4 linked regions of the Oreochromis niloticus genome follow. The protein of the gene in region 4 purifies or fractionates together with the protein of the main gene of each other region. This does not show direct contact. Links are inferred from orthologs where the notes say so. Each region holds a gene or a part of one and is shown on either strand. Other genes may lie near its edges. The genes, in order: gemin2, strap, gemin4 and ddx20.

What was found.
Region 1: the proteins of ddx20 (region 4) and gemin2 purify together in Homo sapiens (affinity purification with mass spectrometry; 6 studies listed by BioGRID and IntAct, counting the BioPlex papers as one, with this or other methods). This does not show direct contact. The link is inferred for Oreochromis niloticus from reciprocal best matches to the Homo sapiens genes DDX20 and GEMIN2.
Region 2: the proteins of ddx20 (region 4) and strap purify together in Homo sapiens (affinity purification with mass spectrometry; 3 studies listed by BioGRID and IntAct, counting the BioPlex papers as one, with this or other methods). This does not show direct contact. The link is inferred for Oreochromis niloticus from reciprocal best matches to the Homo sapiens genes DDX20 and STRAP.
Region 3: the proteins of ddx20 (region 4) and gemin4 purify together in Homo sapiens (co-immunoprecipitation; 7 studies listed by BioGRID and IntAct, counting the BioPlex papers as one, with this or other methods). This does not show direct contact. The link is inferred for Oreochromis niloticus from reciprocal best matches to the Homo sapiens genes DDX20 and GEMIN4.

The regions. Positions count from the first base shown.
Region 1 is NC_031983.2:25,158,476-25,165,625, forward strand, and holds the start of gemin2 (gem-associated protein 2), read left to right. Parts: upstream 1-4,138; 5' UTR 4,139-4,294; coding exon 4,295-4,419; intron 4,420-4,570; coding exon 4,571-4,655; intron 4,656-5,306; coding exon 5,307-5,396; intron 5,397-5,543; coding exon 5,544-5,603; intron 5,604-5,751; coding exon 5,752-5,868; intron 5,869-6,264; coding exon 6,265-6,309; intron 6,310-6,403; coding exon 6,404-6,472; intron 6,473-6,711; coding exon 6,712-6,822; intron 6,823-6,984; coding exon 6,985-7,043; intron 7,044-7,150. Other genes in the region: mia2 (cTAGE family member 5), read right to left, coding at 1-2,672, 2,799-2,885, 3,348-3,481, 3,572-3,677, 4,002-4,028. UniProt on the Homo sapiens protein: The SMN complex catalyzes the assembly of small nuclear ribonucleoproteins (snRNPs), the building blocks of the spliceosome, and thereby plays an important role in the splicing of cellular pre-mRNAs.
Region 2 is NC_031980.2:31,843,032-31,850,131, forward strand, and holds the start of strap (serine-threonine kinase receptor-associated protein), read right to left. Parts: upstream 3,009-7,100; 5' UTR 2,871-3,008; intron 2,175-2,870; exon of another isoform or gene 2,016-2,174; intron 1,882-2,015; 5' UTR 1,800-1,881; coding exon 1,688-1,799; intron 642-1,687; coding exon 506-641; intron 1-505. Other genes in the region: protein bicaudal D homolog 1, read left to right, coding at 3,256-3,474. UniProt on the Homo sapiens protein: The SMN complex catalyzes the assembly of small nuclear ribonucleoproteins (snRNPs), the building blocks of the spliceosome, and thereby plays an important role in the splicing of cellular pre-mRNAs.
Region 3 is NC_031979.2:1,528,694-1,536,701, forward strand, and holds the start of gemin4 (gem-associated protein 4), read right to left. Parts: upstream 3,017-8,008; 5' UTR 2,865-3,016; coding exon 2,855-2,864; intron 2,228-2,854; coding exon 239-2,227; intron 1-238. UniProt on the Homo sapiens protein: The SMN complex catalyzes the assembly of small nuclear ribonucleoproteins (snRNPs), the building blocks of the spliceosome, and thereby plays an important role in the splicing of cellular pre-mRNAs.
Region 4 is NC_031984.2:17,471,895-17,479,228, reverse strand, and holds the start of ddx20 (putative ATP-dependent RNA helicase DDX20), read right to left. Parts: upstream 3,011-7,334; 5' UTR 2,991-3,010; coding exon 2,795-2,990; intron 241-2,794; coding exon 146-240; intron 1-145. Other genes in the region: parapinopsina (parapinopsin a), read left to right, coding at 4,831-5,161, 5,937-6,027, 6,111-6,348, 6,440-6,682, 6,801-6,941.

The sequences.
Region 1 (7,150 bases), on a different chromosome or scaffold from region 4:
GTCTCTTCTGTGTTCATGGTGCTCAGGATCTTTGCCTCATAATAAGAAGACTGCACTGTTTTTCCCTCTTCATCTTTCTTCTCTTTTTCCTGTACACCCTCCAATTCTTCTTCCCTCTGTAACTTCTCCACCTTGTCCTCTTTTTCCTTCTCTGGTAACTCTTCCATCTGCAGCTGTTTTCTATCCTCCTTTAGCTCTCCCATCTCCCCCTGCATACTCTCCACTTCTGCCTCATTAGTCTCCTTTTCTTCCTCATCTTCCTTTTGCTCTTTCACCATTTTCCCTTCACCTTCTTTCTTCTCTTTTCCCTCTAGACCCACCAGTTCCCCTTCTTCCATTAACTCCTCCACCTTGGGGTGTTTTTCCTCCTCTGTATTCAAATGTTTGTTAGCCTCCTTTAGGTCTTCCACCTCTCCCTGCATGCTCTCCACTTCTGCCTCATTACTCTCCTTCTCATCTTCCTTTCGCTCTTTTATCTCCTTTAAATCCTCCAGTTCCTCGTTATCCTCCACCTTCATCACCCCTTGATTCCCCCCATCCTTTGACTCCTCCTCTTTTTCAGCCTCTAATTCAGAGCTTATCGCTGACTTCAGGTCATTTTCATTTAAATCTTCTTCAGTGCCTGATGCCTCTATCTCTATTTTAACCTGCTGGGACTCGTTTATGTTGTCTTCAACAGTTTCCTTTAGCTTGCCTGCATCACTGTCACTTTCATTGTCAATATGCTCCATCACTGGAGACACAGAGGGATCTGTGGCTAGTCCACTTGTTCCTCTGTCATCCTTTGGGATAGTTTGAGTGCTTCTGACAGGGTTATGCTGTGAATCCAATTCCTGTGAGCTCAGAGTTTCTCCCTCCTGCTTTAACTCCCCATGAACTGTCTCTGCTTCTGTGTTATTATCAAAAAGAGCTATTGTATCTGAATTGTCATCATTTGTTTCAGCACTATAAGGAGTAAAACTTTCATTCTCAGCTGGAACTGGATTGTTTTTCTCCATAGATGACGGTAAGTGAGGCTGGCTATCTTTGCTACTGTCTTCTACATCACCGTTCAGCTCCTCAGTCTGAGTTCCAGATAAATCTGTATCCTCATTACTGACTTCTCCTTTATTATCGTCACCCCTGGCAATTTTAAGAGCCAATTCTGTGGTTTCTTCTTCTGTGTTATCAGTTTGATTTGTGATTTCTGCCCCTTCCTCCTCCACACTTTCTGATTTCTTGTTCTCCATCTGGTCTTTTTCATCTTCCTTGACCAGCACAGACTTTGACTTTAAATCCACTGAAATGTGATCAGGGCCCAAAATGCTTTCAGATGGTGTTATAGAATCCTGACTGATAGCACTCAGAGTTTTTCTTTCTTCCTCTCCTGGCTCCCTGCTGTTATCCATATGTTCAGCGTCTTCACCTTCCCTTTCTGCAGATCTGTCCTCATTAATTTTGCTTTTTTCTATATTGTCATCATCATCTTTACTGGAGAGTGATTCTGCTAAAGCCTGAGATTCCTCTTCAAACTTCCTATCAGGAGAAATATCTTTGTGATCAACTGTGGGTTCAGCCTCTTCATGGAAATCACTGTTTATCCCACTGTATGAAGTATCTGTGTTGCTATCAACACTGTGACCATTAAGGGGTTCTGTAGGGGTATTTTGGTCTTCTGACAGTTCTTCCACCTCCTTTGAATTATTGCTTGTCTTAATAATTTCCTCCTCTGGTTCACTGTGATCCACATTCTGCGATCCTGTTGGTTGCTCTAAAGTTGTGACTATTTCTACCTCCTTAGATTCACTTTCTTTGTTTTCATCATCTCCAACTTTATCTTTCCTGAAACCTAGAATACCTCCAATCTCCATGTTTAACCAAGAATTAGCCTGCACCTTCTCCTCCTTCTCCTTCTCCTGTCCTGACTCCTGACTGGTCAAACCAAACCCCAGCGTGCTTGACAGCCCATTCCCTAGCCAACCTAAAGTCCCCATCTCTTTCTTCTCCTCTTCCTGCAACTGGCTGCCTTCAAGGTCCAAGGACATCCTCCTGCTCCTGAATTTCTCTGTGGGTTCTTTGTCTTCATCTGCTTCTTGTTCCTCTTCTGTCTCACTTTTGCTTCCACCTCCAAAGCTGAGCCACCCAGTCATTGTTGAAGTTAACGATTCAGCAGTTTCTTCTTTAAATTTCACACTTTCTTTGCCATTGTCAGGTTTTCCATTTCCTCCGAAGCCCAGCCAACCTGTCACAGAGGACGTGAGCGAAGTTTCAGCCTGAGTTTCTTTCCTCTTATCTTCTATCTCCCCTTCAGCCACACTGTCAGGTTGGTCCTCTTTACCCAGACCTAACCATCCTGTCACTGAAGAACCAAGCCAGGAAGAGGAGGGAGACCCACCTTGTTGATTAGGAACCACAGGAATCTCATGTGTCTCCTCTTGAAACCCAGCTCCGGAACCACCAACATTTTTATTCTGATCCTCTTCTTGTTCTTCTTCTTCCTGTGCAGAAACTGGGGAGTCTGAGGTTGTTAAGTGGCTTTCTGCTTTCGTGTCATCAGTGCTTTGGGTAATTTGGGTGGTTTCTGGCTCCTGGATTTGGATTTTCTGATCAATATAATCATCATCGTCATCATCATCATCATCCATATCCAGATAAGTGGAGCCAAACTCATTCATGCAGAAGAAATCAGATTTCTGCAGAAAAAGGGCAAAATTGTAATTCTTACGGAAGGACACAAGGAAGACAAAATAGAAATAATACTAATAATTACAATACTTTTTAATACTTAAAGTTTGTTTACATGTGAATGATGAAATTACCTGTGTTTCCACTACTTTCTCCACAGTAGTATAAACCTCCTCTTCTTGCACTGTGTCCTTTGGAAAATATCCAAACTCTTTGTCAATCTGAAATAAAAAAGGAAACAAAGGAGCTGTCAGCATTTTTCTTCTTTCTACCTTGAAGAAACACAGAAATCTCAACATTTGTCGTAACAGATTATTCTTTAAAAAGATGCTCTGTCATTTGGTGTTTCTGCATTGATGATGACTGCAAACATAATCTTTTATAATAATCAAATAATTCATTCTTCCTTTGCACAGAGAATTGGGGCACTGTTATTCTGAAAAAGACCAATCCCATCAATCAAAGGATAAAGGTCATCACACAAGTTTGTACTGATTGATTTGAGGTTGCCCTTTCATCCTAGGGAAACACCCTGGCAGCAAACTGCCCCAAACCTCACAGTATTACAGTGCAGGGGTCAAGGGATTAGGTTTTCTTTCTGTCTGTCTCTAAGTGAGCACCTGGCATGAATGAAGCTTTAGGGAAGCACAGAAAGGAAAAAAAGATTGAAATATGACACATACACTGCCTGCCCACAGGTCATTCCTCTTTCCAGTCAATTTGTGGTAAACAAAGATTGTGTCTCCTTGCCTGAAGCTCAGGAAACGACAGTCCTTACCACGGTGGTCCCTTATGGCCTGCACTCTGCTTAGGAGCCCTGCACACACCACAGCAATAGAACACAGGGGTGAGGTGACCATCATTATCGTCATTAATTTAAGGAGCTATCAGGAGATTTTGAACTTACTTTGACACTCAGAGTCTCCGCAGATCTTGTAGTCAGACAATAATCCGAGATTTAAGTGGGGTAAAATCACTAAAACTGCACCCAGTGACCACAGGAACCTAGAGACCTGAAAAATAGCCATGATTATCTGACTTTTAACTGGAGGCTATTAGTAGTAAATGTCCATAGTGGGGTGGAAATAACTCAGGCCCGTTGTGCTGGCAAGTGAACATTGCCTCTGAGCTGCTGCTGTGTGAAGACTCAATACTAAATGAAACAGCTGAGATAAGATATAAGGCCAGTATGGGGATAATCATTAACATCTCAGGCCTGCTTGCAATACCAAATATTATCAGTTCGCTGGTCAAAGGTTTCTATTTCGTTACAAGACTTAATTTTAATGGAAAATTGCTTTAATTGACATTTAATTGAGATTTTAATGCGTACACACATAAACGAGGTTCCGGGTAAACGCCATGGCAACTAAAAACAGACCCATTCTGTTATTTTCGACCTTTCTCCAGGACTGACAGCTGGTCTGTTGCTGTGGCAACAAGGCAAACGCGCGCACAAAGACGACGTCATCACTGTGCGTTTGTTTTGCGAGAGAGATGGCGGTCTAGTCTGGTTGTGTTTACTCTTGGTAAAAGGTTAGTGTTTTGGTCCGTTGCGAGTCCGTATTTTTAATTGAGCTTGACTGCTTCATTTAGCTAAAAGCTAGCCGAGCTTACACATTCAGTCACAATGAAGTCAGACGTAGAGGAGTTAATGCCGAGGCTGCTGCCCATGGAGTGTGGATCCGGTACCGGTGAGGACCTGGACCTAAGCGGACCGCCGAGAAACCCCCAGGAGTACCTCCGACAGGTCCAGTAAGTGCATCCCAACCTAAAGAACACACCTCTTATTAATACTCGCGTGTAATTAACTCTTAGATTCTCTTTGCCTGTTGTCTCTTTGGTGTGTTAATATATTAGTTGAGGTGGTCGTGCTGCTTCAATGAACTTTTTTCCTTTTGGACAGGCTGGAGGCTTCATTGTGCCCAGAGGTGGTGGTCGCTCAGATTGACCCAAAAAAACTAAGGAAGAAGCAAACAGTGAATGTATCTGTAAGTAAACTGAGAGGCAAATGTATTGAGACCAGTTGATGCTCCAGGTGTATGACAAATTAAAGAAAATTACAAACCCCTGACCTTGATAGTGAGAGGGTTCATTAGCTTTGTTACTGTGTGGTGTCTGCAAAACAAAGTATTTCAAGTATTTTTACCTTGATGTGAGCAGTCAGTCCCACTCATCATGCATGTGAATGGCCTAAAAATGTTGGGCTTTTAAATGATTTCTTTGAATTTTTCTTTTTTTTTTTCAGGATGGAATGATTTTAAAGCATTCACTTCAATAACCTTGAAAAACAAGAATTGGGTGCACAAGTTTTAATTTACTTTTGATTTTCTGTAATCCACAAAGAGTCAAAACATTCATACCCACGATGAGTGGATGGAAACTTCTGAGCACACCTGTATGAATCTTTCTCAGTATCGTTTCATAGTTTTCATTGCACAGTTAGAAATGAATGATAGGCTCTGAAAAATGTTGTGCTGTGTTCAATTTTTACGTTGATCATGTAAACAGTATACAGAAGTTCATTTAGCAAAGAAAAGAAGATGCTATACAAAATAAAACAAAATACATTTCAATAATGCATCACCTGTTCTGATTATTTCTCAGTTACATTTTTTGTGGGGTTGTTTTCTGGTTTTTAGGTGGCAGGGTGTCATGCTGCTCCAGTGGGTTTCTCCCCAAGTCTAAGATGGCAACAACAGCAAGTCAGCAATTTCTCTGAAATCAGACAGGTAAGAGCCTTTTTGCTGTTATGATATTATACAATAGCACAGCCTAACAGAATTCACTAAAACTTTTTGTAGGTCCAAATCCGCACAAATCTGTACAAGTGGATATTTGACAATTTATGAACTTTTACAACATTTTTTTCCCTTTAGAGTATCACAAGGCACAGGAAACACTGGACCAGCCAGACTCTAGATGACAACGTGCTGATGGTGATGTGATAATGTGTAAATTTGATGCTTCAGCATGCAATGCTTTCCTCTAATAACCTAATAAATCCCTCTGTCTTTCTCCAAGAGGCAAACTTGAAAACAGAATTTATGTTAAAATTTTATGTATGCGCGTATTTGTGTGTTACAGCCAAAGCTAACGGATGAGGAGGGTTGGAAGAGGTTTTGTTTAGGAGAGAAGGTCTATCTGGGCACTTCATCCACCCACACAGATGCAGAACAGGAGCCAGCACTGGACTATAGCAAGGTTATATATGTAATGGCTATATCTCAATGTTTTGTGTCATCATGAATACAATCTGTAAGATTTTTTGTCAGTAAAGAAGCTGTCGGTCATGTCTATCACCCATTGGATAATGAGGTTTTGAAACTGGACCTGACACCACACACTTACAAGTAACAACCTGTGATTGAAAATCTTCCTAATAATGCCAATAATTTAAAAAAAATCACTTCATTTTGTATTCAGTGTGAGCTGAAACTAGTGACTGAGTCATCAGGGAGTTGTGGGCCATTTTTCCACAGATTTCTATGTAAATGGAAGTGTTTTTATTTAGAGTGAAAGCACTTCTGCATCTGCATTACTTTTCAGACCCAAAATATGTCCTGCTCTATTTACCTCAGCATTTCTCTGTCTGTTCAGATGGGGTTCCCTCCCTTCCTAAGCATCATCAGCAGACTAAACCAGGTAAACGATCCCTCTGTAGACATTCAAGATGTTCTAAACCAGTCGAAGCCTGATTAGACGATGTGTGTGTTTGTGTTTTCCCACCTGTCCACAGTCCACAGTGCTGATGGTGTTGGAAATCCTCATCGGCTGGTTCGAGGAACGAGAATTTGTTCCACAGTTGGTGAGTCTGATGTATTAGCGACACATTTTTATGCTGGTTCCGAACTCCACACGCATTTATAGTGATCCTGTGCTGCATTCAAGATAGATATGAGCTGACTATGAATGCATTCCTCACAGATATCATGAAACCAAACATTTCTTCAGCCTCTGTCTTATGTTTCAGATATAGAAGGTGATGGTTTATTGGCTGCAGTTATTGTGAAATACTTGAGTTTGCAGTCTGTCTTCTTGTTTCAGGGACGCTGGTTGTATGCTTTATTGGCCTGCTTGGAGAAGCCTCTGTTGCCTGAAGCTCACTCATCCATCCGACAGCTCGCCCGGAGATGCGCCCAGCTCCGCAGCACGTTGGTAGGCCACAATCCTACCATCTCCTGTAAAGCACTATCTCTATGTGCTATCACTCCATGCTTGAAACGGCCACAGCATGCCATGTTTTTCTAGTTCTTTGTTGAGATTTGATGGGATTTTATTTACTCTGATAGTCTTTTCCCTGCTTGCATGACTTCACAGGACAGCCAGGAAGATGATAAACTGCCCGCCCTCAACCTGCTCATCTGTCTTGTTGCCAGGTAAGGTTCTCTGTATTTTTGTTATATGGAACTCTGTGTAAAGAGAGCCCCTTAAATGTTTTTTTTTTTTTTTTTTAAACCACCAGTGTCTAAATTGTTCAGGGTGA
Region 2 (7,100 bases), on a different chromosome or scaffold from region 4:
GCTAAAAGTCTTAATGTTGAATAGCAGAATTGTCCTTGCTTTGCTGGAACAGAGGGATAAATAAGAATGAAATAATAGGAGCAGCAGGATATTCTATTGGCCACAGAGTTCAGGTCAGGATCACACTAATAAAAATGGCTTTACTTTATTCAGTGTAAAGCTTTTCCTTAGAAGGATGCTGGGAAAGCAAGGGTTACCATGGTGACCATGTCTATCACAAAGGCATGTAGGCTACGTCACTGATATATGCAAGCTAGAAAGGTCCCTGGAGCCTGTACTAGTGCTCACATCTAAGTGATCGATTATCAATACCATAGCATGAAGCAAAACAGCCGTTTAAGGTTATCTTGAAATCAAATGAGACCAGATCACACATGAACTGAGGTTTCAGATTACATACAACAATACAACACTGCCAATGGATGCATGACAGATGATCCACAGAGAGGAGCACTGAGGATCACTGCTTCTTTCAGGCTAGTTTAGTCGGAGTGTGTGAACTCACGCTGTGAAGTCGGCAGCAGCAGTCGCTGCTTTGGTGGCGTCTGTGTTTAGAGTGGCTCCCCAGACAGCGCCCTTGTGACCCAGAAACGTTCCTATCCAGTCCCCTGTGTCTCCCTGGCGCAACATGGGCTTGCCATCTGATGGAGAGAAGCAGAGAGGATGTGAGATTCATAGTGTAATGGCAGGCGACAGTAAGTATAAGGGTGTCTGCTAGGTCACAGACACCCTTGGTGTCTGCTAGGTCCTGCTGACTGTGTGACAAGCAGGGGTCACTGACTTCTAGGTTGACTTTTCATTGTTGCTAGGTAAAATTGGTTGTAAAGAGTTGGTACTGCATTGAAAACCTCCTTGCAGTTGCTTTTTTTGCTAGCAGACTGCCACGTCACCGTTTGTATGGAACATGCAGACTTGTCTGCAAGAACTTGCCAATTAGTTGCTAAATGGTAGTGAAAGTGAAGAGTGCAGTGCAAACAAAATGCTCCCTTCAAAGCAAAAGCTGCATCTTTTGCAATGTGTTGGTTTAACCCTGAAACGATTAGGCACAACCATGACACTGAAGGCACACCTTCGCTGTTCGTAAAACGTTTGCCTTCAGTTGTAACAGCTTCACTACTGCTCACTTCAATACTGATTAGTTGGCGAGTCAGCATCCTCCATGCAAGCTATTAATAAATGACTCTTTCAAAAAAAAAAAAAGACAAAGAAAAAAAGAACTGAACTTAACCTAGGAAATCCAGGAATAGGAACACTGCTTGCTTTCAAACGCCATCTTTCTCAGGGCAGGAATACCATCTGACAGCCCAGAGGCGATCATTATCTGATCATGGTCTTTAGGACATGATCAGATAATGATAAGCAGGATTTACTCTTTTCTATACTCTTTCAACAAAGTTATACAATTCGAGATCAAACTTTAGGAGGAAGGTAAACCATCAGTAGTTAAGCTAGCCGCATGTGCCTCTCTCTCTCTCTCTCTTAGGCTCACACACATACGCACCCCCGCGCGCACACAGACACACTTAATGACACCAGAAAACAATACAAAGACACAAAGTCCCTCAATAGAAGAACATGTTTTATAAAGGGCTCATTTTAAAGCCCAACCCGCAACAGACCACGTCCAGCAGTAACATCAGATTCTCACAGCCTACTTTATGTTCATAGTCCTGCCAACACCTCTCACCCTTGCAGGCGCTGATGAGGAAGTATCCATAAGGAGTAATTCCACTGAAGGCCAGGTCCACCACAGGCCGGGTGTGACCGGAGCAGGTGAGGGGAGTCTGTCTCATCGCCATGGTCCTCCGGCCGGCCGGGAGACGGTTCGCACTGACAGAGGAGACGGTTGGATGCTAGCGGCTAGCTAGCAAGCTAGGAAAACTAGCGGAGTAGAAGGAAAACAAGATATCAAGCTAGCTTTGTAGGTTATGTTCCGTTGGATAGCAGTTAGCTGCTGCTGCTGCTCACACTGTGAATCAGAAAGAATAAACTGTAGGTCTGTCGAACAGCTCTACCTTCCAGCGAAGGAACGGCTACCGTGCTAATAGCTACAACATTGCAACTAACTAGCAACGTGTGACACGGCCAAACAACCATAGAGACGATGATGTTGCCGGTGTGTTACGCCAGTTCCGCTAATCACGATGATAACACTTCCGATGCCTTTCATAGTAAAAGTGTCATCGCTTCTAACGGACATTGATACGTTTTAAATTTTGAATGAACAAATATTGAATAAAGGCTTCTTCAGCAGTGCTGAGAGAAATTTTGATATCGATCCGATATCAAGTAAAAACGGCCAGTAATGTCCATACCAATACCAATACCTTTTACCCTATAAAGGAGGCTTATGTGGGGTAGCCTATGCCTATGTGTCATTATTTATTAGATGTATAATTATTAAATGCCGCTTCTATAGTTTAAATGTTCTATAAATATCTATCGTTATTATCAATACCTGGGTTGATCTACCCACCACTATTCTTCATGAGCTACCCGTCAGCTCGTTTTCGTTTTCAGACTTTAACTCAGACTTTTCATCGTGTAAAAGACACAGTTAAACGTTATGACATGGAAGGCATCAAAGCTACTTTGTAAACAGGACATATACTAATATTTCAAACAGAGATTGATTGTTTATTTGTATTGCTTATGTATGTAATATTATCACAGCACATACTGTCAGTGTTACTTGGATGAGCGCAGTTCAAGAGCCCGTGAAGGCTTTGTAAAAGACGTGCAGCTGTATGCGAATAGTTTGTAGTTTTTAGTGTTGAGGTACCGGCAGATCTCACACCAGGAATGAAACTATTAAAACTCTTTGTTTCGTTCGCCTCCATAAAACAGAAAGAGTGTATTTATACTCTTACCTCCAGAGGGCGCTGCGTGCAGGGGATGTATTACTGTAAACGCTCAGTGTGCAGCAGGATGACAGGGAGGGAGAGAGGAAGGTGCCTTGCTTCACGGCTGCGGGCAGAGATGGCGTCCTGCTGCCGGTGAATAAGCAGAAAACCGAAGCAGAGGGAGGAGACCGGGTAAGAGAGGACGCATCTTTCCGAGCATCGCATGGCAGAGGATACTCCCGCTGCGATGGCAGCACCGCTGTGAAAGCCGTGGATGCTCGCTGGTGCTGTTTGAGTTGCAGGACGTTGGGACTCCCCCAGGGGAGGCGGTGGGGCTTGTTTTCTCCCTCTGGCAGGTCTCTCTGTTCGTCCGCCGCAGGGAGGAGAGGGCAGAGGGAGGGACAGACGAGCGATGGCTGCCGGAGGAGCAGGATGCGGGGATACGGTAGAGGAATATCGGGCCGAGGTGGAGCGCCTGACCCGGGAGCTGGCGGAGGCCAACCGCGAGAAGATCCGGGCGGCGGAGTGCGGACTGGCGGTTCTGGAGGAGAACCAGAGCCTGAAGCAGCAGTACGCCGACCTGGAGGCCGAGCAGGAGGCGCTAAGGCTGGAGCTGGAGCAGCTGCAGGAGGTGGGGTCAGCAGGGGTATGACTCCTTACTCGAAAGCCATGCACTGGTCTGATTAGCGTGAGGCGTTTCTGACAGCACCTTCTCACCTGCACCCGCTGGAGGATGTTATGAGCTCACAGGGTGGTTCATTAAAAAGCCTGTCTGTGCACACTTCACCTGTAGTCACACCTGCTGGACATGCCAGCTCTTTAGCCAATATGGCTTCAGTTAGCTTGTCAAAGATTAAAGACGGTACTTTAATACAGGCTGGTTGCTTTATGCTCTTTATTTAATCTGTTTTTAAATCAAGTCATTATATTTCACACACTACAAACTTTCTGACCAAAATACTAAATTCCCCTCATACACCCACCATTTCTTTATATCATGCTTCCAAGTTTTCCGAGTCTGGTTTTCTTGTCATTTTTAACTGGTTTCAGTAGTTCTTAGCTTTCTCATGGGCTTTTTTGGACAATGGCAGCTTTTTCCACTCATCTTCAGTCCAGTCCTTGTAACTGACGATTTTCAGAGGAATGGTTTTTGTTTTTAAATCCATTTAACACTGACCTATGAATCATTCGAGCATAAAAAGGCACCCCGTGACTACACTTAACAGGCAACTTGGCAAAGAACCAGTTTAAATTGTATCTTTAGGAACTTGTGTTGCAGGCTGCTGGAAACAAAACACATTATTATTACATGGGCTGGTACTTTTATGGTGCTGTTGTTGAGCACTCACAGGACTTCCTGCTCCAAGTCTCATTTACCCAATCCCATACATACGCATTCAGTGCTTTAATCTATGCCTAAGTATTTTTTAACATTCACTCACACTCAAATTCCAACAGATGCATCAGGAGCAGCTCAGGATTCAGTACACTGCCCAAGGCTACTTGTGGGCACAAGTAGGACTAGAGGAGTCAGGAGTCAATCCACTGACCCACTCCACCGCCTGAGCCACACCTGCCCATTTCTTTAATTGCATCTATGGAAAATATCTTAAAGAAATTGGAAAAACTCCATCAAAAACAATAATTTTTCAGTATCGCAACGATCCCAAATGCACTGCCACTGCACTAAAAGTATACATGGATAGAAAAGCGCACAGTAGAATACAATCAGTCATGGACAGGCTGCCCCAGAACCCGGACATCAACATTACCTAAAATCTTTAGCATAACTGAGGGCAGCGCAGAAAGCCACTAAATACAATACAACAACGCTGGCACCTCATAAACCTGTTTGCGTTTGTATCCACGTAATGAACATGAGATTAATATTCGCTTTCCTTCAATCTTAGGGTAAATCAGAGAGGTCTACATATTAAAGTGTCCTTGGGCAGGATACCAACTCCCCAAATTACCAGTCGGTCACTGTCTGAGTGTCAAAGATGAAGCATTTATGGCAAAGAATAAAGGGCTATATGAATGTGTGAATGTGGCTTTTTGTAGAAAAGCACTTGGAGTGGTCAGTAAGACTAGAAGAGCTTTATATAAATCTCAGTCCACATACCAGATATAGTAGCAGTGTCCAGGCTGGGTGAAGTTTCCCCTTTTAGAGTTAAATAACGGTGCAGGCTACACTTCTGGTTGTCCCCTTCTTTTTAAGTTTCAGCTTTGCAACCATACTCCCCACGGACTTTGGTTTCCTTCATGCTAGTTGGCAGGTGTGCAGTGGTTAGCACTGTTGCCTCCTGGCAAGAACAACCCCAATTTGACCCTACCATCTTTGCGGAGTGTGGTGTGGTGGAATTTCCATGTGTTTGTCCAAAGACATGTAATTAATGGGGTTAGGTTAACTGGTGATTAGGTGTTCACTCCTAATCGACTGGTTTCTTTCTTTCTGTGCTAACCCTACATCAAGCTGGTGGCCTGTACAGGGTGTACGCCGCCTCTCGTGTGATGGTAGCTGGGATAGGCGCCCTGTGACCCTGATAAGGATAAGCAGAAGAGAATGGATGGGCACTGGCCATTTATCGACATGAAACAGCACATTCTGCAAGGCTTAGCTGGGTCATACCATAGAAATGTTGGTAGAGTTTTAAAGAACCATTGGGGAATTTCACCATGTGTAGTTTGTTTGTCTTTCAAGACTTTAAAGTACTCAGCTTTACTACTCAATATATTTTATAGAATTATGTAATTCTGCATGGGGTTTTTATCCACACTGGAGCTTAATGGTGATAATGATTCACCTCCATTGAGTCTCAGAGATAAATTTGGGATCGTGTAATTTTTCTGACTTACATATATTGGAGAGCTACTGTATGCTAACATTAATCCACCAGTTTGTGAGAATGTGTATATGTGTCCATGTGACTCCATTAATTTAGAGAATATTTTGTTTTCCAAATGGAATTTCTTAAATTCAAGTGACCAGGCTACATCTCCACTGCCTCTGTTTCTCTTCTGTCTTCTTTTTAAAAATACATTCAGGACAGAGATGACCTACAGGAGCAGGACTGAATCCATGATTCATTTTTGTGTTTTTTACAGTTTGTCTTGATGCATGCTCAATCATCTAGCATGCATCAAGAAATTTTAACCCACTTTGGCAAGGACTGCCTAAATGTGTACGTCAGTATGAGCAAACAGCACGTAAGATGGCTGATTACAGGAACCACATGAGATTCAGCCTCAGATGCAGACAGAACAGAATCAACTTTTTGTGATATTGTACAGTTGTTTTCATTGCTATGAACAGCAACAACTAAGACTAAGTTAGCATGTACTAATAGCAGCACAAGTTACCGTTGTGTTTGTTGTCTTTAATTCTCATGTAATTTTAACTTTTTGGTGCTAATTTTGTTTCCTATGAACATGATTGAATGAATCCACTCCTAAGTGTTAATTCAGTCAATCCCTCACACATTTTAAAGTTTGTGTTAAGTGGCCCAGAACACAGGAAATCATCCTGGACCAGGGCATCACTGAGCTTCTGGATAGTCTGAGGTGCAACCTGGCAGTGTCAGATGCAGTGAAATATGACGTCCCTTAGGTGTTCTAGCAGATTTGGGTCAGGCAAGCATGGGGGCCAGTCAATGTCATAAGGCTCTGTCTCCCATTTCACTGTTAAATGTTCAAGGAACCACAAGGAAGCCAGCAGTCTTAGAGCGGGGTGATACGGTACTATGAGATCTGTGAGGAGATTTGAGATTTAACAGGGAGTCAGTGAAAAGAAGCCAATTTGGGGGAAACATGCTCTCTCTTTCTAGTCCATATCAATATTTTGGATCAACTGAAGGTTTCTCAACAAGTTTTTAGGGCAGCCCATTAATAATGAATTACAGTAGTCCAGCCTAGGGAGACTGGGTGTCATCTGCACAGGAGTGAAAATGTATGCCATGACGTCTGATGATACTGCCTAAGGGAAGCATGTATAATATAAACAGAACTGGTCCTAGCACTGAACCCTGTGGAACTCCATAATTAACCTTAGTGTGGGAAGTGTGAAGTGTATCCATTTACATGAACAAATTGGAGTCTATTAGATAGATATGATACAAACCACTGCCGTGCAGTACCTGTAATACCTACAGCGTGCTCTAATTGCTCTAAGTACAGTACAGTATTGAACGCTGCACTGAGGTCTAGCAGGACAAACACAGAGATGAGTCCACTGTCAGAGGCCATAAGAAGATCATTTGT
Region 3 (8,008 bases), on a different chromosome or scaffold from region 4:
ACCCTGTCAGGATCAGTGAAAATAAATTAAAACTTGTGGATCCAATTCTTGTTTTGTTTTTTTCAAAGTCATTACACATGTATGCTGTACAATCATTCCACCCTGAAAATGTTAAAAGCCCAGACTTGCCATGATATTCATATCCATGATGAGTGGCTCTAAACTTTTGATCACAACTGTAAAATGTTAAGAAATTAGCTAATGTAGGTTGTGGTAAACATAAACATGTGAGACTCACCTGTAGCTGAGAGGTTAGGCAGGACAAAGGTGTTCACGACTTCCTGAGGTGACAGAATGCTTTCCCTCTTTCCTTCTCCCTCAGCTGAAGTGACGGGCTCCATGAGCAGACTCAGGAACTTGAGGAACTGTTCTTTTTCAGTTGCTGACAGTGACTTGGTCTGGATCACGTCCTGTAAACACTTGCCAAGTAAATTGCACACCACCTTTTTTCTCCCTCCATTTCTTCTTCCCCTCTGGTCTCTGAGTCCTGGCAGCTGTTCCAGGATCTTAGCCATTAGAGAGAAAGCTCCTTTGTTAAAAACAGCCGAATGACAGCAGGACCTCAAAGTGGCTTCGGGGTTCTGAAAGGCTACTCTTGCAACTAGAGAGGCTGCCGTAGTCAGGTTGCCCTGTGAAGCTCCCGCTGAAGCTCCGCCCGCCCCCTGAATGATGCAATTGAAGGCCATGTTGAGCTCCTGTTCAAACCCGTCAGCTAGAGCAGCAGGTACAGAGCACTCGAAGAACCCCCTGCTGGATAATCTCAGCATGGCAGCCAACGCTTTGTTCTGGTCTTCTAATGTGAGTGTGGAGAAAATACCTGAAGCGATTTTCAGCAGTTTGTGGCACTGCTTCACGTTAGCGCTCTTGCTATGGAGTCTGCTCATTAGGGTGGAGGCGAGGCTCATGAGGGTACCGTGCTGCCGGAAGGCCCCCTGGTTTTTTTCCAGGCAGTCGAGCCAGCGATCCGCACGTTCTGCCCATGATGGCTCACTGGCAAACAACACTGCAAAGTCCTCAGAGTCTTCCAGGTGATGGGTGATAATGACAGCAGCGACCTCTGCGCTCACTTCAGGGCTGCTCTCTGCTACAGGGAGGGACAGTGACTTCAGCACACCTCTGAGTGTATCATTCTCTCCTTCAAAGTCGTCAGTCCCAGCTCCGGGTGCTTCCTCTAGAGAAGCCAGGACCCTCTGGATGCTTTGTTCTAGCAGGAAAGCAGAGTAACTAGGACTGGAGTGGTCACATTGATTGAGAACACTGCTTTGCCAAAACTGTGCAAGCTCTGTGATAATCTTCAGGGCTTCACTCAGCTTCATCTGGCACAGCTGAAACTGAGAAGGTGTGTGAGAAGCACGCAAGTCTTTCAGAGCTTCCTGAATCATTTCAGGACTCAGCTTCTCCATGTTCTCCTCTCTGGCTTGGAGGATTTTACACAAACAGTCCAACTTCTCTTTAGCTGGAAGCACCACGTTTTGGTCTATCAGGAAGGTTGTGTAAAGAGCATCGAGGGAAATGGATAAGGACTGAAAGCAGAGGTCAGCTGAGGATATGTGACATTTCATGCCTTTAAGCGCGTGAAGGAGAATGTGCAGAATATCTGCTGAATCTGGCGTGTCTAACTTTAACCTCTTTGCAGCCTGAGGGGACAGACTGGAGGACTCAGAGGAGAGGTGAGCAAGCTGGCTGGCAAACATCTTCTCTATGCTCTCTTCTTCTCCAACCTTCTCTTCCGCTCTGCCTTTCCACAGCTCCCACCAAACCTCCAGAAGGAGTCGGATATCGTCTTCCCCTACGGGATCGCTCCTCACATGTTCCACCAGCCTTTCCAGCTCAGCACAGATTTGAGCGTGAGGAAGACGCAGGAGGAAACTGGCAAAAACACCCGCAGCTGCTGCTGACTTCACCAGCTCCAGCAGGACGACACGGCTGACCTTAGGGAGGCTGTTCTGGAGAGAGAAGAAAGGGTTCTCCCTCCAAGCCAACTCAACGTTCTCCTCAGCCTCTCTGCACAGCAGCTTCAGCCACACAACACAAACCATCCTCTTCTTCCAGCTCTCGGCTGCTCGGTTGGGACAGTCACTGACTTCATCCTGTCTGCAGATTTCTTTGAGTGCTTCCAGGATCACATGTCCCACCCGGCTCCAGTCTGCTTTCTGAATGGTGGACAGGCATGAGGGGGAACACAGCTTATCAGCCAGGAGGAAAGCTCCCTGAAGTACTGTCGAATCTGAAAGAACAAGAGAAAAGGCATCAAAACTCATATTTGCCAGAGGAAATTGATTTTTTTTTTAATTTTTAACTGTCCTCTCAGCTCCTTAAATTAGCCTAAAATGGCAAAGATGCGCAAAAAACAACACATTTGATCTTAAGACCAAAAAATGCCACTTTGAAAATGGCTTTTGACTGGGGATAAGCTGAAGTTCAACTCTGGCTCATCTAAAGTTGACAGTGGAAGGAACATGGTGTGAAGCCTGAGCTCAGAGAGGTTACTTGTATCTCATTATTTTAAATCGTGATCTTTTATATGAACAGCCACACTCTGTAGAATAAGGTATTAGTGTGTATTTTTCAGTTCCACACAGAATTAATACAAGCTATATAAATATATATAGAATAAAATGTCGCTGTTCTGTCATTCTCACACACATGCAGCAGAGCGGTTAGAGAACAGCATTACCTCTTAAACTGCTAAAGCTGATACTATTTAATTTTTTTTTTGGGGGGGGGGGTTTGATTATGGCGAAAAATCACGGTTTGCTGTTATTTTCTTTTAGCACACGCAACATTTACTACAGCATAAGAGAAATTGTGACTCGTGTTTTCTGTATGAGAACGTGAGAAGTGTAGCGGTTACCTTTGTTCATTATTAGTGTCAAAGCTGCAGAGTGGACCTGGATGCTAAGAAGCTAGTTTGCTAATTTTAGTTCCAATGAAGTAGAGAGCAAACACGAAACTACCTCCCAGCAAAGGTTTCTATCAGAGTGACACCAACTTTGTATAAAGCGCTTCCGCTGTTAGCATCAGCGTGTACAACCAGAGAGAATTCATGATCAAGAACTCCCACTCTGTGGATTTCCGGTTTCATAGAGGGCGCTCTAAGCATATGGCAGAATGAATAGAGTTCTATGGCTCTGTAGCCCCAGAATGTCAATTTTGGTTATTGTTGTTGTTGTTGTTTTTTTTTAAATATTTTCCTTAATAGTTAATAGATATAGCTCCATTTTCACATTTTTTATGGGATTCCAACATTTCGGTGTAATACAAACAGCACCAAGAGCCGCATAATGCATCGACTACTTTGCTTTCAGGCATGAAACAAACAGCCGCGGAAAACTTCTGGCAGTAACTTCCAGACAGTAATCACCTTCGACCACCACAAGCAGTTCTCATATGCATGATAGGTTTTGTTGTGGTTTAACTACGCTCCCAATATCTAAATAACGTATGATGTAGATTGTTAGACCTAAAATCGGGCATGGAGAAATAATTATTTGAGTGCTTTGGCTACATTCACTGCTATTATTTCAGGACTTTCAGGTGAACTAAATAGTGAATTTCTGTAAAACGAGATTAACAGGAAGTGACATGGTTCTCGTCCATCAGCTCTGGTGTCGGAAAGACTAGTAAGGCTGCTGTCGTCATGCGCTCACAGCGACACCTCAGGGCAAAGTCAGTACTACGAGTTTTATATAAAGTCAAAAGCAAAAGGACCTGTTGCAAGCTGTTGACTCCTCATGAACTGCTGTGAACTATTTATTAAACTGTGTGGTGCGGTGGTTCACATAGTCACATTTCAGTAATCCTGAGTATGGAGTACATTTGCCCCATGACTCCAAGTACACCGGGTACCGCTCACAGTTTAGAGTCCGTTTGTGTGGTAATGGATAAAGTAAAATATGCACCTACCACAGTCTTCCTACCAGACAGACCTCTGGCCACGTGGCAGCTGGGATAGGCTCCAGCTACAATAATGTTACGTCTAACATGAAAACAGGAACGCTGTAAAAAGAACTAGGACGTTGTATCCTGATTTTTTATTTATTTATTTTTTTTTCTAGCATATATTCTGGATTTTATTAACTTTTTTGATTATGATTAAGGGTTTTTATTTTAAAGGTTTGGTTTTCGAGCTGCTCATCACGCCAGAAATCGCACTCCTTTTTTCTTTTTCCTTTGAAATGAAAGTGAAAGTATCAAGAGAAACTTTGTGTGGACATCAGACAACAAGGAGTCCGACAGTGGAGGGCACCGGGAAAGAATGACGGTTTTAATCTTGAGGATACTTTTTTACTTGTATCTAAGTGCAGGTGAGTTATAGTGCAACACGTTGTCACAGATTAGCTTAGGTCAGCTTGTGCGTGTTAGGTCAAAAGTGACTATAGATATTCTAGTCTACCGCATGAATTCCAACGGCTATGCTGTCTGACTGAAGTATTCGTGTCATTCAGGTGTGTGGAGTGTCCATCAGATCCAGTGGCTGCCTTGTTACTTCATTGATGAGCGTTTGTATTTGAACAAGGACAACCACACTGAAACCCGGGTCATCCCCAGAGAGGCTATACTTCAGTTTGGTCAGAAAGGAGATGCTCCTGTTAACCCAAACGCCATCACTTTCCTGGTCACCAGTGAGTTACTGCAGCCTGCATGAGAAGAAGGCTGAAAAAACAACAACAATGTGTTAGTGTTTATTTTATCATCTTCTAGGATCAAAGTTGGATCTGCTGCAGTATGTGGAGGGGGTGGAGGCAGAGCAGCTGAAGTGTGAGCTGCACAGATACAGCACAGAGGGCACTTACATTCGCTGGCCTGTCCTCGGTGCCCGGGAGTACAACCACTGGTTTACCTGCATCCTCAGACACAGCAGGGGCCGCTTCGCAGTCGCTGGCTCCCTCAGACACCCCTCTGACCAGCCTCCCCCAGGGCAGCCAGACTACCACAACTGGTCTGTCATTGCTGACAAAGAGGTACTCACCACCGCAGGTAAACTCACATGTGAGGATGGTGTGTTTTTGTTGAGCCCCACAGACTATCTCCTAGGGGTTTTATTTAATTGCCTGCCTGTTGCAGTAGCAGACATTTAAGGACAGAGTGCTGAAAGAAACTGTGTTTGTGTCTCGGAGATTAGAGTAGAAATAGAGAGAGACAGTTATAGTTATATTGACTTGGAATGGTGGATGGCCAAATAATTGTCATGTCATAGATACAGGAAGTGGTTGTCACCTATTTGAGTAAAGGACACTTGTGTTGTTTGTCACATCTGTTTCTGCAGTCGCCATGGTCATCAAAACACAGACTCCCTCAGTTAAAGCACGCCTGAAGTTCCAGCAAAAGCTCCACTGCCAGTTTGATGTCGACCACAAGGGTGCAAAGGTCACCGTAGAGTGGCATAGGCACCGCCCTGGTGAGAGGACTGAGCTCTTCAGTTACAACAGGCGCACAGGACAGACCAAGGGGAGCGGTGTCGGACTACATGCCCTTGCGGCTGGAGATGCCTCCTACATCCTCGCCTCCACCACGATGATCAGTGAAGGGACCTACATTTGTTCAGTGTCCGTGAATCCACTGTTCGCCAAGGTGGATATATATCTGCAGATTCAAGGTACATAGGTTTGGACCATTCCCTATATGTCTATACTACCAGTCAAAAGTTTGGACACACCTTCTCATTTAATTTGAAAAATAAATGACGGTCCAACTAATAGCAAACCGGATGGGATGGCATGTTGCTACAGGATGCTGTGATAGCCATGCTGGTTCAGTGTGCCTTCCATTTTGAATAAGTCCCCAACAGTGACACCAGCAAAGCACCCCCTAACCATCACACCACCTCCTCCATGCTTCACAGTGGGAACCATGCATGTAGAGACCTGTTCACCTTTTCTGTGTCACACAAATAGACGGTGGGTGGAACCAAACATCTCAGATTTGGACTCATCAGACCAAAACACAGATTTCCACTGGTCTAATGTTCATTTCTTGTGTTTCTTGACCCAAACAAATCTCTTTTGCTTGTTGCTTTTCCTTAGTAGTGCTTTCTTAGCAGCTATTTGACCACAAAGGCCTGATTCGGACACTCTCCACTGAACAGCTGATGTAGAGATGTGTCTGCTACTGTGTGGCATTTATCTGGGCTCTAATCTGAGGTGCTGTTAGCTCGTGATTTCTGAGGCTGGTGACTCAGATGAATTTATCCTTAGCAGAAGAGGTGACTCTTGGTCTTTCTTTCGTGGGGCGGTCCTCATGTGAGCCAGTTTCATCGTAGTGCTTGATGGTTTTTGGGACTGCACTTGGGGACAAATTCAAAATTTTAGCAGTTTTCCAGACTGACTGATCTCCAGTTGTTAAAGTAATGATTGATTATTGTGCTTGCCATAAGAAACTGTGAACCTTTGACTGGTACTGTATATGTTGTCAGTACAAACAATGAGAGTAAGAAACCTATTTTTAAATAGCTCTTTATAGCATTTTATTACTTTGACCTTCAGATCAATCTATTGACCTTGAAGGAAAGGTAAGAGGTCAAATGTGACATGATATTTGAAATCTTTATATGGTACTTTTTATATGCTGTCAATATATAGCACACTTTTAAGAATCTCAGTTTCTTAGTTATTAGGTTGTTTTTTTGCTTTCTGAATCTATTTTCAACTAACATTGATGGATGGAAGGCAAATTTTAATGAACTGTTAAATCTATTTGTTGGATTGTTACTCCACTACACTCCACTACACCAGTTCCAAGGTTCATCATAATTCATTTAAAACTTTTCAAGCGTTCATGTTTATAGACAGATTGACACATAAACGAGACCGAAAACAGAACCTCCTTGGCGGATCGATAGAAAGTTGCAAAAAACTTATATGTTCTATAATCTTTACAATGTTTGATGTTAATGAAATTCACTTGCAGTTTCAGTTTTTCCATCACTTACACCAAAATACATTGGTGTAAGTGATGATCAGGTTTATGTTTCTCTTTATCCAGATCTAACGCTTGATGTGCCTGTTTGTGTCCGTGCTGAACTTACTGTATGTGATAAAAATGCATGCTCAGTGGAGCCTGGGTGGGAGATTTTATATATATATATTTTTTTTATTATTCTGTTAAGTGTGTAACCTGAAATGCATCTTACTAAATTTGACTTCCTATAATTCTGGAACTCAGACCAAATCTAAACTTTAACTTTTAAATGTCACCAGTTTTGACCTGAAAGAATATTAAATTAAAATAAATGAATTAAATAAAACAGGCCAGTTACTATAATAATTGTCTGCTGTTAGGTATTGAAATTACTATTTATTTTTCTCTCTCCTTTCCTCAGAGTCTCCCCATGTCTCCCTCAATGTTGGAACCACCCTGTTATTGCAGGAGGGCAAGGACTTGATGGTTAAGTGTGAGGCAAATGGCTACTACCCTCGGATGTGGAGATAATTTGGTACGAGGAGGATCCAGGCACTCCACATCCCAAGCCACTGAACCATAGTGTTCTGTTCAGCCACAAAGAAAATAGGGACATGACCTTCTCGCTGTCAGGTGTTTTCTACCTCCAGGCTGCGCTCAGGGACTCTGGGAAAAAGTTCACATGCAGCGTCTCCCATCAGTCCCTGAAAGTGCCCATCACAAAGAGCTTCACTCTGATTGTGGAAGGTGAGTGTCAGTATAGTACTAGGAGCTAGCCTGGGAGGAGCAGAGCTTCATGTGTGTTCTGTTTCAGAGCCAGCCAACTGGATTTTGTACCTCGTTGTGGGCTCTGTTGTGATCCTGCTGTTGTATGTGAAGCGGCGCTACCTGCACTCAGGTGAGTGATACAGACTTGCAGCTAAATCACACCTGAGGAACACGCGCTTGCTGTTGGGAGCAACTGACATATAAAGCATGTTCAACCCCAATTTAAAAAAAGTTGCAAAGTTGTGTGTAAAATGTAAAGAAAATAATATAAATAACATATATCAGAGAAAATTATATTATTTACAGAAAATAATTATTAATATAGATAAATAAACAGAAT
Region 4 (7,334 bases):
CAGCTTAAACTCAGCAGAAGGCCATCTGCTGGTCATGAAATGATTAAATAATAAAACTTCCCCTTTCCCTCTTCTGATGATGTTTTACTTTAACCGTCCGAGTGCAAACGTAGGTCATATCCTCATAATCAAATATTATACTGACCTGGGTTGAAGGATTCTCCAGGACCAGAGAGTCCAGGGCGATGGTGCAGAACACGCATGTCTTTCCTGTCCCAGACTTGGCCTGTACAATCAAATCTAAAAGGAGAGACTCAGTGAGCGATGCACAACAGGGCTGGCAAATGACAGTTTTGGCATCAGCAGTTAATTACCATGACTGGGTGAAGTATTGCTGCCTAATCCTCAGCATCAAATCAATTGTCTCCTACCATGGTTTAAATTAACAAGTGTTTACCTCAAGTACAATGAAATTAAGCACATTCTGCATCACCGCTGCAGCCGAGAGCTTTTCCAACACACAGGCAACCTCCAGGTGGAAAGCAACTATTCTGAATTTGTACCTCGTAAAGGCAGTAAAATGTTTAAAGGCAATAAACACATTTGATCCCAAAGAGTGATTCAGAATCACGATGAACAGTTGTGATATCTATGATAGTCAAAAGAAGGACTAAAGAAGTACTTTAGTAGTACTAATGTAGTTGTTTCGAGCTTTTCAAAATAAAATACTTTTTAATATCCTTTAAAACAAAAAGATTTGTTCTCATTTGACCATGGCTTTGAGGAAAGTTTACAACAAAAGTCAGTGTACAGTCTGAGTGTAGTACAGTTACAGTAGATAGACAATAACAACAGTAACAGACTTAACTAAATGAAATTATACGATAATATAACAAAGTTCACAAAATAGAAGAAACTCTAATATATAGCTCAATTATAAATATCCAGAATATTGCACAGATGAAATATATATTATTGACATAGAAGCTGAAAACATGTAATTTGATATTGTATAAAGAAATGTTTTAAGAAACTACATTAAAATGTAATACATGATTGAATTATTCAGAGTAAAAAAATATTTGGATTACAGCTGAAGTCTCGGGGCCATATTAAGCTCTTTTCTAAACTAATAATATAGAAGATCTCTGCAGTTAGGTCCATAAAGTTTATATTCTTTTTCCCTGTGTACACATCACAGTGGATTTGATGAAGATGTGACTTTCAGCTTAATTCAAGGGGTTCAACAAAAGTATTGCATTAAGTGTTCGGGAATCAGAGGCACCATCTATCAAAGAGAGTGGAGTTAATGTTACGAACTATGACTGTGAAATCACAGGGATGCATGGCTGCCTGTGAATCTGGGCCTTGAGTGTTTATTGATGATGTGATTGCTGGTAGCAGGATGTACCTTGAAGTGTAAAGGGGAATTCAGATTCATCCAAGTGCTGCAAAACTATGCAAATGGAAAATGACTCAGAGCATCCTGCAGAAGCAACCCGAGAGTTTCAGAGGGCAAAGAAAGTGGAAATTCTTCCTGAACAGTTGATGCAACTCTTTAGGGTCTGGGGTCTTACTGTTCATACTTTTGTCAAACCTCTGAATTAAAGCTGAAAGTTTTCCCTTCAAATACATTTTGACAACTTGATTTAAAATTCACAAAAAAGCATCAGTGTCCACTTACTAACAGACCTAACTCTAACACACCCAGCTATTGTACCAACAGATTTTTAGATCAGATACACGATGCTTTGTCTCTACTGCCATGATATCACATGTAATAACCTTTTTACATTATGTTCTTTTAATAAGTCCAAATGTCAGTTTTGCACTAGTGGCCAAAAGGACAGGGAAGTATTTTTATTAATTTACCTCAGGGACAGTTATGAGTTGTCCTACATGAAGGAAAGCTAAAGTCTTTCTGAGGAGCACGTTGTAAGGAGATGCTGCTGGTAGCTCATGGGAGGAAGTCAAATTAGATAAACTACCTTTTATCTTTTAGCTCTCATGTGTTTCTATTTCCAGATAATATTACCTCCCGACAAAGGTGTTCATGTGTCTGGATAAAACGGAAATAGGCAGGCAGATTGGTGCTGTATCGAAGTAATGTGCCGACTTTACTGGACCAGTGAGATGAAGAGTTAGCTGAACCGGGAAGCAAAGATTTGGATTTACCAGTCAAGCGTGAAGCAAGTCTGGGTTCAGCGTTTCACCCAAAGACACTTCACATGTAGCCTAGAGGAGCTGGGAATCGAACCGCCAACCTCCCAGTTAGTAGATGCTCTACCTGATTAACCACAGCCACCCAAGTTTTAGGTCCATAAATTTGCCCATAAGTGTGTTTTTTGATTGCAGTAATAATAATTATAACAATAGTTTTTCATTTCATATTTATGAGGAGATGCATAAGCGGACGATAATGAATGGATAGATAGATTTGAGGCATAATATATCACATCACATTAATCATTTGCGTCTAAATATGTATGACCAATATGCTTTGCAACAAAAAATTTAAATTAAAATACTTTAAAAAGTTGTAAAAAAAAAATAACATAAAATAATGATGATGATGATGATAATAATAATAACAATAATCATTTTTAACTATAGTGCCAGTCATGTATCTGAGCAGACATGCAAAATTATATATGATGGATAGATAACAGATTCTGATCCCTGATGTATGTAATGCACTAATGTAAGTTAGTGATTTGATTTCACGTGCATACATAAGGTATTTTGTTGCTCTTTTTATAAAATCAATTATAAGTTTTATACACTGAAAACTTTATTTTTCCTACCCCCAACACACACACATGTGAACCCTCCCGCAGTTTTGTTTTGCACCCACCGAGTCCGCAGCGGCCGAGCGGGATCGCCTTGAGCTGGATCGGAGACGGCTTCTGAAATCCCGCGGCGGACAGTCCGTCCAACACGGGCTGAGACAGCAGCAAGGAACCGAAGTCGATCCCCTCCGACAGAATCACGTCTTCGGTCCGCTTTCGCGCTTCGATATCGTGAGCTGCTTTCCTGACGGAGGTAGCCATGTTTGCTGTACTGTTTACTGCCGGTGACCCGGTTAAAAAGCAGAGACACAGCTGCGCTTTAGCGCCCTCTAGCGATGCGGAGGGGAATTAATTTCTCTGCGCAATCATCTGGGTGTGATTGGTCGATTACACACTTTTTGGCAATAAATCTTATATGGTTGGAAACCCTGTTTATTTCCCCCTAAGTGGTGCTAAATTTTTAAGGAAAATGCATTTGTGGGCTGAGCAGCAGAGTTGATTATGTGGGCTGTGTCCATGAAAAACTTGCAAAATCTTCTCTCCCAATGCCAAACAAAGTATTCTGCTATTGAATCTTGTTTGGTGCAGTTTATGGGACTGTATTTTTGAAGTTTGAAGATGCATATTAGCAATTTAATGGTTTATTCATTTGGTAGCATGTGGAAGAACCATCTGGTACCTCCTCCTCATGCTGGTCACCAGCTTGGTCACGCACTGCTGTGGGATGGTATCCCATTCTTTAAGCAGCATTTGTTGCAAGTCAGCCAATGTGTCAGTGTTGGTGACTCTGGCACAAACAGCACACCCAAGCTGACACCACAAGTGTTCGATGGGGTTGATGTCAGGACTGCAGGCAGGCCATTCTATCATCCTCACTCTTCAATTCTGAAGATAGTTTCTGATAAACCTCATTCTGTGAGTTTGAGCATTATCTTCTTGGAGGATAGAGTTCGGTCTCAGACAATGGAAATAATGGATTGCCACTGGTTGGAGAATTACATGTTGAGATTTCTTTGCATTAACAGTACAGGAGTATTTATTTATGGCAATAAGTCAATAACCCAAAAGTTCTTATTGATGGCCTTTAACAGCTCAGTGCAGGAAACTGTCTTTTGATGAGGTTATTAGTTACAGCCAATGTTAGTTAGTGTCTTAACTCTTAAAAAAGAGGAATTATTCATTGAGTTTTTTCAGCATGCCAAGAAATTGCAAATGTAATCACATATAGTTTTGGGGAGCAATATATTAGTGATTAGTAAAGTGCTTATGGATGGATCCATAGATCTGTTGGGCAGAAAATGTAAATGAGATCTTCAAGGTGAATTTAATTCAACAAATCACAATGTCATTTTTTTCTGTTATTGCACCTTTTCTTTTTTAGCTTTATGGATTCATTCATTCATTCATTAGGAGTTGTGTAGGTATTAAGGATGATTATAAACAGAGACACTGACACTGAGCTCATTCTCAAATAAGCCACGAGTTAACCAGTTTGTGTCATTAAGTGACTCAATCAGGCTAACGTCTCATTAGTTTTTAATGAGAGTACATAAAAAGGCAAGGACAGGTATCCATAAATTACCAGTTTATTCCATTATTGGCTACAAAATGTGTGACAAACCAGCAGGAATTCTGTAGACATATCGGTCGATCCTGTATGAACGTTTTGCATCATTACTCACGAGCAGCTGTAAATTGAGCAATCATGGAAAGTGCAGTCTTAGAGGCTATCAGACAGAATTATTCTCTCCACAATCCGGCTCGACGGATTTTGTTTTCTGAGAATTGCAAGTCATCTACGGCCTCCTCTCCTCTTACTGGGCTTATTTAGAGGGCCTCGCTTCGCTCTCAGAATATCAAGCACGCAGTATCTGTTGAACAGTTTTGTAGTTGTTCTTATTGCTACATTATTTATCAAATGATTAAAAAAAATGCTAAACACATACCTGAACTTGCTATTTTATTTGCCTTGCTGACAATGTGGCCATTTTAGAGTTAGATGTGTGGGATCTGACACTTTTTTGTTTGTTGTTTTTTACCAGGCATCACTGAGGTTTTTCATACTGTCACCAGATTCTTCTCCTGATCTTCACAGAGCAAAATGGAGAGTGCTGCCTTCCACAGAAACTCTTCATCATCTAACAGCTCAGCCAACACGGAGCTCTTGTCCCGGACTGGTTACACAATTCTGGCCGTTATCATGGGTGTGTTCTCTGTGGCAGGGATCATCCTCAATGTCGTGGTGATTGTGGTGACGGTGAAGCACAGACAGCTAAGGCAGCCACTCAGCTATGCCCTGGTTAACCTAGCTGTTTGTGACCTGGGCTGTGCTGTGTTTGGAGGCCTGCCCACCACAGTGACCAGCGCCATGGGATACTTCAACCTGGGACGTGTGGGCTGTGTGTTAGAAGCCTTTGCTGTTTCCTTTTTCGGTGAGTCTACATTTTCTTTTTCCTCACATAAATAAAAGAAGAAATACAATAAGGTATTCTAGTACAAGTAAAAGTACCTCAAGTAAAAGCATCTGAAGAGAATTTAATTATATTATGTCAGATTTGCAAAGCTGTATCTGAATAAACAATCAAAAAAACACAAGATCTGGAACAGTGTCCTTTGGACAGATAAGACTATATTTGAGATGTCTGGATCTATTGCAGAGAGGTGAAAACCAAATACAGCACATCGGCACAAACACCTCATACCAGCTGTTAAGCACGGTGGTTCAGAGGTGATGATTTGTGTTTGTTTTGCAGCTGTATACCAAAGTATTGTTGAGACAAATGTCAGTCTGACAGTTAAAGCTTGGCCACAATGTGGTCATGCCACAGATAAATGATCCCAAGCACAGCAGCAAATCTACAACAGAATGGCTGAAAAAAGAAAAGAGTCAAGGTGCTGTTGTGACCTGGTCAAAGTCCAGACCTTGCTTAGTATTTCAAATGCACGCAGTCCTGTGGAAACTTTCATTTTCTAATGACCGCTTTTGAACTTTTTGAGCTTAAAAAAGTTACTTAAAGTGAATTATTTAAGATATTTTGAAGGAACTGTTTTTGTTTGAAGTTACATTATGTACTATAGTCCATATATTTATAGTTAATGTCATTAAAATAAGATTAGCATTTCTTCCTTGAAATGTAGCACTCAACAGTGTGCACAAATGCAACACTTAGAACGCAAAAGTCATGAATTACTTTCTCTTTATTGCAGGTATAGCGAGTCTGTGCACAGTTGCAGTCATTTCTGTTGAACGTTACGTAGTGGTGTGTTATCCCATGGGTGCGGTCCTCTTCCAGACCAGGTACAGTAGTGACCATCAAGGTCTCACTTGGGAATGTTCCTTGTTGTACCAAGCATGTCAGACACCATCTCTGTTGTCCTCAGGCATGCAGTTGCTGGAGTGGTACTGTCCTGGGTGTGGTCATTTGTGTGGAGCACTCCACCTCTGTTTGGGTGGGGAACTTTTGAGTTGGAGGGGGTCAAAACCTCCTGTGCTCCTAAATGGCATAGCCGTGATGTTGGGGACATGTCCTACATGATAATATTCTTCTTCCTTTGCTTTGCCTTGCCCTTTTCTGTCGTCATGGTTTCTTACTCGCGGCTTTTATGGACTCTCCGCCAGGTGAGCAACAAAGAGGCTGCGCACACCTTATATTTTTGTTGATTGTATTGAAAACATAATGGAGTCCTTTGCCCTTGAATGTTTTTCCTAGGTGACCAAGCTGCAGGTATCTGAAACAGGAAGCACAAGTCGTGTAGAGGTGCAGGTGGCGCGCATGGTAGTGGTGATGGTGCTGGCCTTCCTAGTCACCTGGCTGCCATATGCCGCACTTGCACTTGCTGTCATGATAGACTCCAGTCTATATGTCGACCCTGTCATCGCTACCATTCCTGTGTACTTTGCAAAAAGCAGCACTGTCTACAACCCCATCATATACATTTTCATGAACAGACAGGTAAGCTGGTTTAAAGTACACTGAAATTCACACATACAAACAAACACAAAGAGGGATTCAGGCTCATGCTGTATGTTCATGACCAACCATGATCCTGTGTTTGTGTGTGTGTTTCCAGTTTCGAGGCTACACTGTTGCTGCGGTTCTGTGTGGATGGAACCCCTGGTCCTCCGAGCCGCAAACATCTGAGAACGAGACCACTGTTGCGTCTGTAATCAAGACCCCCAAGAAAATTGTGCCTAAAAAATCTTTGGAATAGAAATGTGTAGAAATTATTATTATTATCACTCCAGAGGCGCATCCTGATTATCAGAACAAAGTCAAGACAACTTCTGCAATGTACTGCAAGATGGTTTTCACAAACGTAAACAAAATATCAGAGAGTAAAAATGATGCAATGAGGAAGAAGGTTGCACAAATCTATGTATTAAGGCATAAAACATAACAGTAATAAAAGCAGCAGTAATAAAAAAAAAAAAGATTTCCCTGTTCAGGCAGGCTTCTTTTCCTTTTATGTATTCAGACAACAACACAACATCTTTCTTGTCCTCTGTCATTGATATTGTAGATGGTGTCATTGCTTTTTATCTCTTTTAAAGAATAAAAATACAGTTACATTAATCAAGAACTATTGAGACTGCACAACTCACAG